Nothobranchius furzeri: one gene and its partner. The protein of the gene in region 1 purifies or fractionates together with the protein of each later gene. This does not show direct contact. Links are inferred from orthologs where the notes say so. Each region holds a gene or a part of one and is shown in the gene's direction. Other genes may lie near its edges.

Region 1 (3,654 bases):
GTCCTGATGCTTTTGCGTCTAACAACAAATCGGACAGTGACCTTTGACCCCCACAGACTTTTTGCTGTGACCTTCTGTATAGTGATGTTCGTTTGTTTAGGTTTATAAACTACAGCTAGTATTTTTTTTTCACAAAGTGCAAATAAAAAGATCAGCAGGTGCCAGTTTGTTCCACGTAGCAGAGAAAAGGTCTGCTTCAGCAGGCAGTTGGTGCAACCGCTAAACCAAAGTACTTCTGTGTGTTTGTGAGGCTTTTATCTGACGCGTCTCTTTTCTTTATCAGGCGGCTCTGCGTCAAATCACAGACAAAGCCCGTGAGTTTGGAGCTGGTCCCCTGTTCAATCAGATCCTGCCGCTGCTCATGTCGCCTACCTTGGAAGACCAGGAGCGCCACCTGCTGGTGAAAGTTATCGACAGGATTCTCTACAAACTGGATGACCTGGTTCGGCCGTATGTGCACAAGGTGGGTTCACTGCGGAGACGTGCATTTGTCTCTATGGATGTTGGCGCTCTAACCTGAGCTTTTCTCTTCAGATTCTCGTGGTGATTGAGCCTCTGCTCATTGATGAGGACTACTATGCTCGAGTTGAAGGCAGAGAGATCATCTCTAATTTAGCGAAGGTATTGTTTAGCTGCCATTTGCTTTTGTTGATGTAACAGAGAAATGACGCGAACCTTTCTCGCCTGGTTGACCAGTTTGTGGTCTGATCAGGGCTAGTTGTTCGCCAGATTGATACCAACATGAGAGCATGCAGACCTGACCTTAATGCCTAGTCTGTTCTCAACCTGCACCCGTTGGTTACAGTTCCTCTGCAAAGAAGCAGCATCTGTTAAATACTTCAGCATGAGTGCACAGTCATAGTTATAAAGTGTTTGTTCTGCTGACTGATGCTGTGTTTGGGCTTTCAGTGGTAATCAGAGTAACCTGTGAACTTGTTTTTCTCATGTTTTTAAGGCTGCTGGTTTGGCTACAATGATTTCCACAATGCGACCTGATATTGACAACATGGATGAGTATGTCAGAAACACGACTGCTCGAGCCTTCGCGGTGGTGGCCTCGGCTCTTGGTATCCCCTCCCTCCTGCCCTTCCTCAAAGCTGTGTGCAAAAGCAAGAAGTCGTGGCAGGCGCGACACACGGGCATCAAGATAGTACAGCAGATCGCCATCCTGATGGGCTGCGCCATTCTGCCTCATCTGCGTAGCTTGGTGGAGATTATCGAACACGGTCAGTCGGACCCTCATCCACAAATCTTTTAAAGCACCAATCACGTTCTGTTACAGGTGATCGCGTTAAAGCCATGACTCGGTGTGTTTTACACTGAGTAAAAAAGAAAAGGTTTAATCCTTTATAAATGACATTATTATTATTAGTGGGGACGTTCCATCACATTGGGTGAAAAGGATCAGATACAACCTTATAAATCAGCAAGCATAACCTTTTAAACTAACCCTGAGATTTAGGTGAAAGACTGTTGTCAAGCGCCTTGTGAGGTTCTGGAACTCTGTAAATACAGTCCTCTTACCAAAACGGTAACCATAACGATCTGCAGTAGTTTCTGTGGAGGTTAGGGCTGGGGGTAAACGATTATTTTTAAAACGATTATCCTGACGATTTTTTATCGAATAGTCAACTATTCTAGTGACTAGAGCAGGGGTCGACAACCTGTTCCCATCAAAGAGCCATTATTACCCGTTTCCCACAGTAAAGAAAACACTGGGAGCCACAGCAGCCGCGGCGTTGTGGGCGGGGCCTACCCTCAGACAGCAGAGCGCTGCCTTAACCAATCACAACAGGTGACAGCAGTCGGTACCGGTCGCTCGTGTACGTCAAAGTTATCTTTCATAAAAAAGATAATCAATAAAATGATTTATATAAAGTGGATCCAGAAGTTGTAGCCCGTCTCTGCCTACAATATTTTGATATTTTTCACCCTGTTGGTTTTACTGAGCAGGTGCCACTTTTGTCATACGTTTCTTTTTACAACATGTTTAGACTGTTCAGAATACAAATCCAGGCTCTGTCACGTTTGATTGTTGTAATTAAACTTTGTAGGTGGGGAAGGTCAGAAAAGGATCCGATCAGTTTGTTTTTCCCTCATTTACAGCAGCGGAGATAACGACGCAGTGCGCCTGGCTCTGGTGTTAATCAAGTTAAATTATATCTCTTTGCAACAATTTTCACAAGAAAACAAAACAGTTAAAAGCAGGGCTTGTGTTGTGTTGACCGGACAGTTCCCGTATTTGACCGTTTATTTTGACGGAGAAAGAATAGAAAGAATTACCCCGACGCATGCAGACAAACTGACATTTTATTCTACACACATCGCAGATGTAGCTAAATCACTCAAGAAAAGATTCCCATCTGAACATCTGAGCTGGACATTGCTCAGCGCAGCTCACTGTCAGCGCATACGTATGGTACACAGCGAGCTGAAGATGTGGAGAGGGGCTTGGAGCGCGTCGCAGAACCAGAGCGCATGCGTGAAGATTCCTCCCACTGAAGCGAGACTTGTCACTTAGAAAATGTTCCCTGATTATGAAACTTTGGCTGAATAGCGCTTGTTCCTGTCTCCAATGTGGCGACACATCCAGGAGCCTGTCTGAGGAGAATCCCAGAATCTCACATCCTCTTCAGCTCGGAAAGTGCCTATGATTACGCACAAGCGTGACGCGTCAACCCGGTCTCACAGTAAGACTGGGTTGGACCTGTTCAGGTTTACGCAGACAACCTTTACATTTAGAATTAGCTTACAGATGTAAAATTAATGCAGTAAAATATAAAGCATTTTATTTAAATATCCATTCATTATTTTACAAGCATAGAGAGCCGCATCAGATGGATGGAAGAGCCACATGTGGCTCCAGAGCCGCGGGTTGCCGACCCCCGATTTAGACAATTAATCTAGTAATTATTTTCTTATTGCATAATTAATAAAAACAAGAAAATCTCTTAATAAATTCCTCCAAGAAATTGATCAATTGTTACTGTAATAGAATAAACGCTACAGACCTTCCATTTTGTATAACACTGCTTTTATTGTGTTGCGGTTGGTTATGTTCTGGTGACGTGTAGAACTTGGGAATGCAGCCTGCTGCCTGAGAGGTGGTTGGAGAAGGAGTGTCTCCATGCTGCTTTGTTTTGGTCACTTATGTGTGTGAGGCGAGTGGTGTTATGACCCTTCCTGGGGAGTTTGGCTCGTGTGCAAAAAGGAAGGGACAATAGCGGGATTTAAAAGTTAAAATGATGATCAGGGTTCTTTACAACTACAAAAAAACATAAATCTTTCCATCCACAGGTTGGGAATAATAAAACTAATTCTGCCCGTGGGGAATTAAAACAAAAGTACAAATAAGTAGGGATGTCCCACTGGGCAAAGATTACAGGGTTCTGGACCAAAATAAGGATCTGCAAAGGTCCAAACTCTAAACTGGGCGGTTAAACCAAACTCACGGTGATATCTTAAACTAAACCAAAAACCCACAACACTCTAAATGTAATAAAAGGGAGATCTACACCACAAAAACGATGAACTCTAAACCAAAACGTAACGGCTTATCCAAACGCAAGAAGCTGTTAGCGAAAATGCTAACAGTAGCTTTACCAACGTTAAGCTCAAGTTACCAAGTTTAAATAAACCAAAAACACCCAGCGG
Region 2 (3,754 bases), on another chromosome or scaffold:
TTAAATGTTAATAGTTTGATTGATAGACTTGTATCTTGTACTTACTCATCTGATTTAATGCTTGTTGCTCTCTTAATTGGGCCACTGTAGTGTGTTCAGATTAGAGAATGCAGCTCCATCCCATGTAAGGTAACGCTGAGCTCATTTTAGTCTGCATCTCAAGATGCAAGAGTCTAGGGTGAGTGTGCTTGGTAAAGGTATAGAACCGTGCAGTCTGGAAACCAATCCCACTCATTCACCTCTCCCAGCAACACACAGCCTGCCATTATCTACAGCAAGTGATTTCCACAGGTAGATCTGTAACCTTTGGAACAAGGTGGGTGGGTTGAGCACCCATAGGCGTCTGTCTGTCTCTTGCCAGAAAGCCAATCTCTTAGTGTCTCGTTGCTGCCACATATACCCGTTTCTCTCCTTTACACACACACACACACACACACACACACACACACACACACACACACACACACACACACACACACACACACACACACCTTTGCTGTGTTAAACAGCGAAACAAAGGCTTACCTGTTTGGGCTGCAGACTACGGAGAGGTCTGCTTCCTCAGTCTTATTTATTTCCTCTTTACTTTGTGAGGAGAGAGTTTTTGATATAGGGCTGCATGGTACAAATGGTACTGCTTCCCCACAACAAGAAGGTTGCAAGGTTGCCTTTCTTCAAAGTGCATTCTGGCCATGCATACACTGGTTTTCACTGGATACAACAAGAACATTTAGGTTCCATTGTGTCTCTAAATATAAATACATATTTGTTTGTCCCTGTTTGTCTCCATGTGGCCCTGTGCTAGACTGGTGACCCATCCAAGGACTCACCTCTTGACTGATGAGTGCTAGAGTTGGGCATCAGCTTCATGACGTATGAAGAATAAGCAATGACGAAAAAAGAGGGGCTTACCTTTTACACGCTTGTTCTATGCACTGGTTGTGTTGGAACTGTATTGAAGAACTACTATAGATGATGATGATGATGATAGATAGATAGATAGATAGATAGATAGATAGATAGATAGATAGATAGATAGATAGATAGATAGATAGATAGATAGATAGATAGATAGATAGATAGATAGATAGATAGATAGATAGATAGATAGATAGATAGATAGATAGATAGATAGATAGATAGATAGATAGATAGATAGATAGAATTTAGGAAAAAAGTAACTAAGAAAATAATAGTTTCAAGATTTTTACATTTATGGATGATTTTTTTTCCATTACACTTACCGAGCAGAATCTCCGTAACCCGGAAGTTATAGCGAACTGTTTAGAGCGCGTTGAGAATGACCCGGAAGTGTTTTCGTCCACGAGAAGAAGGCAGAAGCGTTGCTCATAAGAATTAGACGGTGGAAACGAGAGAAAAACAGCTTTAAACAGTTTTTATAAACCACCAATCATGTAAGTGTCGTTGATGATGAGATAGCCATTTCGGAAAGTGTCATTTTTTGAGATAGAGTATCAGCTACGAGTCGCAGCGTCTTTTCTCGAATGCTAACATGTTTAGCCTTTTCACTGATGAATGCTAGTTAGCTCACGTTGTGTTGCTTTCTAAACGTGCTATCGCTTTTCATATTTTACTCACCATTAACCTAATATGTACAGGGTAATTACTGCAATAAAATATATGTAGTAGTTACGTTGGTGATCGTTAATGATGCTACGATTGTTTAAATTTTATGTTTGCCAATTGCGAAATATTAGCAGCACGATTAAGGAGACCGGTGTTGAGTCAAATTGTGTTCCCCGTAGATAACAGTTTGACCAACTTTCTAAAATGTGCGTTTGGAGAATGAAATTGTCAGGATATTAGCCTAGTAACGAAGTCGGCTTTATGTTTTTGAAGCATATGAGCTTATTTTAATTCAGAACATCATTGTTAGCGACGTTCTGTCTCAAGGATGTTCCACATGTTTTTTTTAATCAATCTTCTAAGAAATCCATTGCTTGATACAAAAGAGTAAAGGAAGGTTATGAAGAAACTCAGAGAAACAGTTAATTGTTAATGCAAAACTTGTCATTCTAATCTCTTCAATTTTTTTTAACTTCTGATTGCTAACCAGTAAATTAAACGTGTATGTCTGATATTGTTGAATATTTGGCTATTGCTAAAAGTAGCTTGGTGTAAATTTTTTAAAATAAGTTATTAGTTTTGTTAAATGCCTATGGGAACTTCCCCACTCTTCTACTGAGAGATTTAAATTTTAATCTCGGTTAAAGTCAGGTTTCTTGAATTGCATTTAGTTAGGGTGCCTTGTTTTCATTTATTATCTTGTAATCATGTAAGTTTTAAAAGCAAACCGCTAAAAGGACTTGTGACCGTTATCTGTGCAGAAGCAAATGATCTAGTATCGTGTCTGCTTTTGTGTAGGAGTCTGTTGACGAAGCCCAAATCAGAGATGACACCAGAAGAACTCCAGAAGCGGGAGGAGGAGGAGTTCAACACCGGCCCCCTGTCGGTGCTCACCCAGTCAGTGAAAAACAACACTCAAGTCCTCATCAACTGCCGCAACAATAAGAAGCTGCTTGGAAGAGTTAAAGCTTTTGACAGGTATTGAAAGAATTTTCATCTAAAAAAAAACATTCAGAGTTCTGCATCTATGCGAGAAAATTTTACATTTAGCTTTTTATGTTTATTTATTTGCAGACGCTTTTATCCATAGCGACGTACAATTTTTTACTTGTAGGGCATGTTGTGATCTGTAGGGGAAACCGGAGTACCTGGAGGAAACCCATGCATGCATGGGGAGAACACTCAACTCCACGCAGAAAGGCCACAGCCGAGTTTCGAACCTGCAACCTTCTTGCTGCGAGGCAACAGTGCTAACAACTGCGCCACCATGCATTTATGCATTTGGATGGCAGAGTCAAAAAACTTAAAATCACATTTAGGTATGGCTGCCACAAAAGACAATTTTAATAGTAGACTAATCACCAGTTTTGTTGACGATTAGTCAACTAATCATGTCATCATGCATAAAAGTATAGCTTATTGCACCAGGGTGCCCTAATATACCCGATGATAGCTTATCAAACAGCTTTTAGTTAACTTTGTAACCCAGGGGTGCCGGAATCCTGGTCCTGCATGTTTTAGTTTGAACTCCGCTTCAACACACCTGATTTCAATCAGCAGCTAATTAACTGGCTTCTGCAGAGCCTGATGAGCTGCTGCACAGGTGTTTCAACCACTGAATCATGTCTGTTGGAGCAGAAAAAACACAAAACCTGCTGGATACCTGCCCTCCAGGACCAGGATTGGGCACCCCTGTAGTAACCTGTTAATACAAATGCTAAACAGTCAAATGGAGGTAGGCACCTAAAACTAGGGCTGTAGCGAAGCCTCGACGAAGTCGACGGCTCGATTCTAAAAATTTGTCGACGTCAGATCCGGAAGTTGACGCACCGCGCCCACTTGTTGCATCCCCAGGAGTTTGTAAATAGAGGAGGAATCTGCCTGTTTTTCCTCTAGTTTGCCCTCTTCTCCGCCTTCACTAACATCTCCGCCAAATACCGAAGACCCGGAACAATGTCCGTCCACTACTAGATTATTTTCCTGTTTTTCCCCTTCGTCTCCCGGCAACGGACAACAACTTCCGGGGTCAGATGCGCTGCTTCATGTCTATCGCAGATGTAGAAAATCACCGGGAGCGCTTCTCCCTTCATAAAGGAGCTTCTTTCAGACATGAGGAGAGCTGTTTTGGTGGTAGCAGTCTCTCCTCCCTGCTGGTCTGTTTGCTGCC

Evidence for each region. Proteins that work in one complex are often made in the same cells at the same time.
Region 2: the proteins of sf3b1 (region 1) and snrpd2 fractionate together in Homo sapiens (co-fractionation; 5 studies listed by BioGRID and IntAct, with this or other methods). This does not show direct contact. The link is inferred for Nothobranchius furzeri from reciprocal best matches to the Homo sapiens genes SF3B1 and SNRPD2.

The regions. Positions count from the first base shown.
Region 1 is NC_091754.1:36,036,735-36,040,388, reverse strand, and holds part of sf3b1 (splicing factor 3B subunit 1), read left to right. Parts: intron 1-283; coding exon 284-463; intron 464-534; coding exon 535-621; intron 622-955; coding exon 956-1,226; intron 1,227-3,654. UniProt on the Homo sapiens protein: Component of the 17S U2 SnRNP complex of the spliceosome, a large ribonucleoprotein complex that removes introns from transcribed pre-mRNAs.
Region 2 is NC_091753.1:27,245,797-27,249,550, forward strand, and holds the start of snrpd2 (small nuclear ribonucleoprotein Sm D2), read left to right. Parts: upstream 1-1,277; 5' UTR 1,278-1,413; coding exon 1,414-1,415; intron 1,416-2,385; coding exon 2,386-2,565; intron 2,566-3,754. UniProt on the Homo sapiens protein: Plays a role in pre-mRNA splicing as a core component of the spliceosomal U1, U2, U4 and U5 small nuclear ribonucleoproteins (snRNPs), the building blocks of the spliceosome.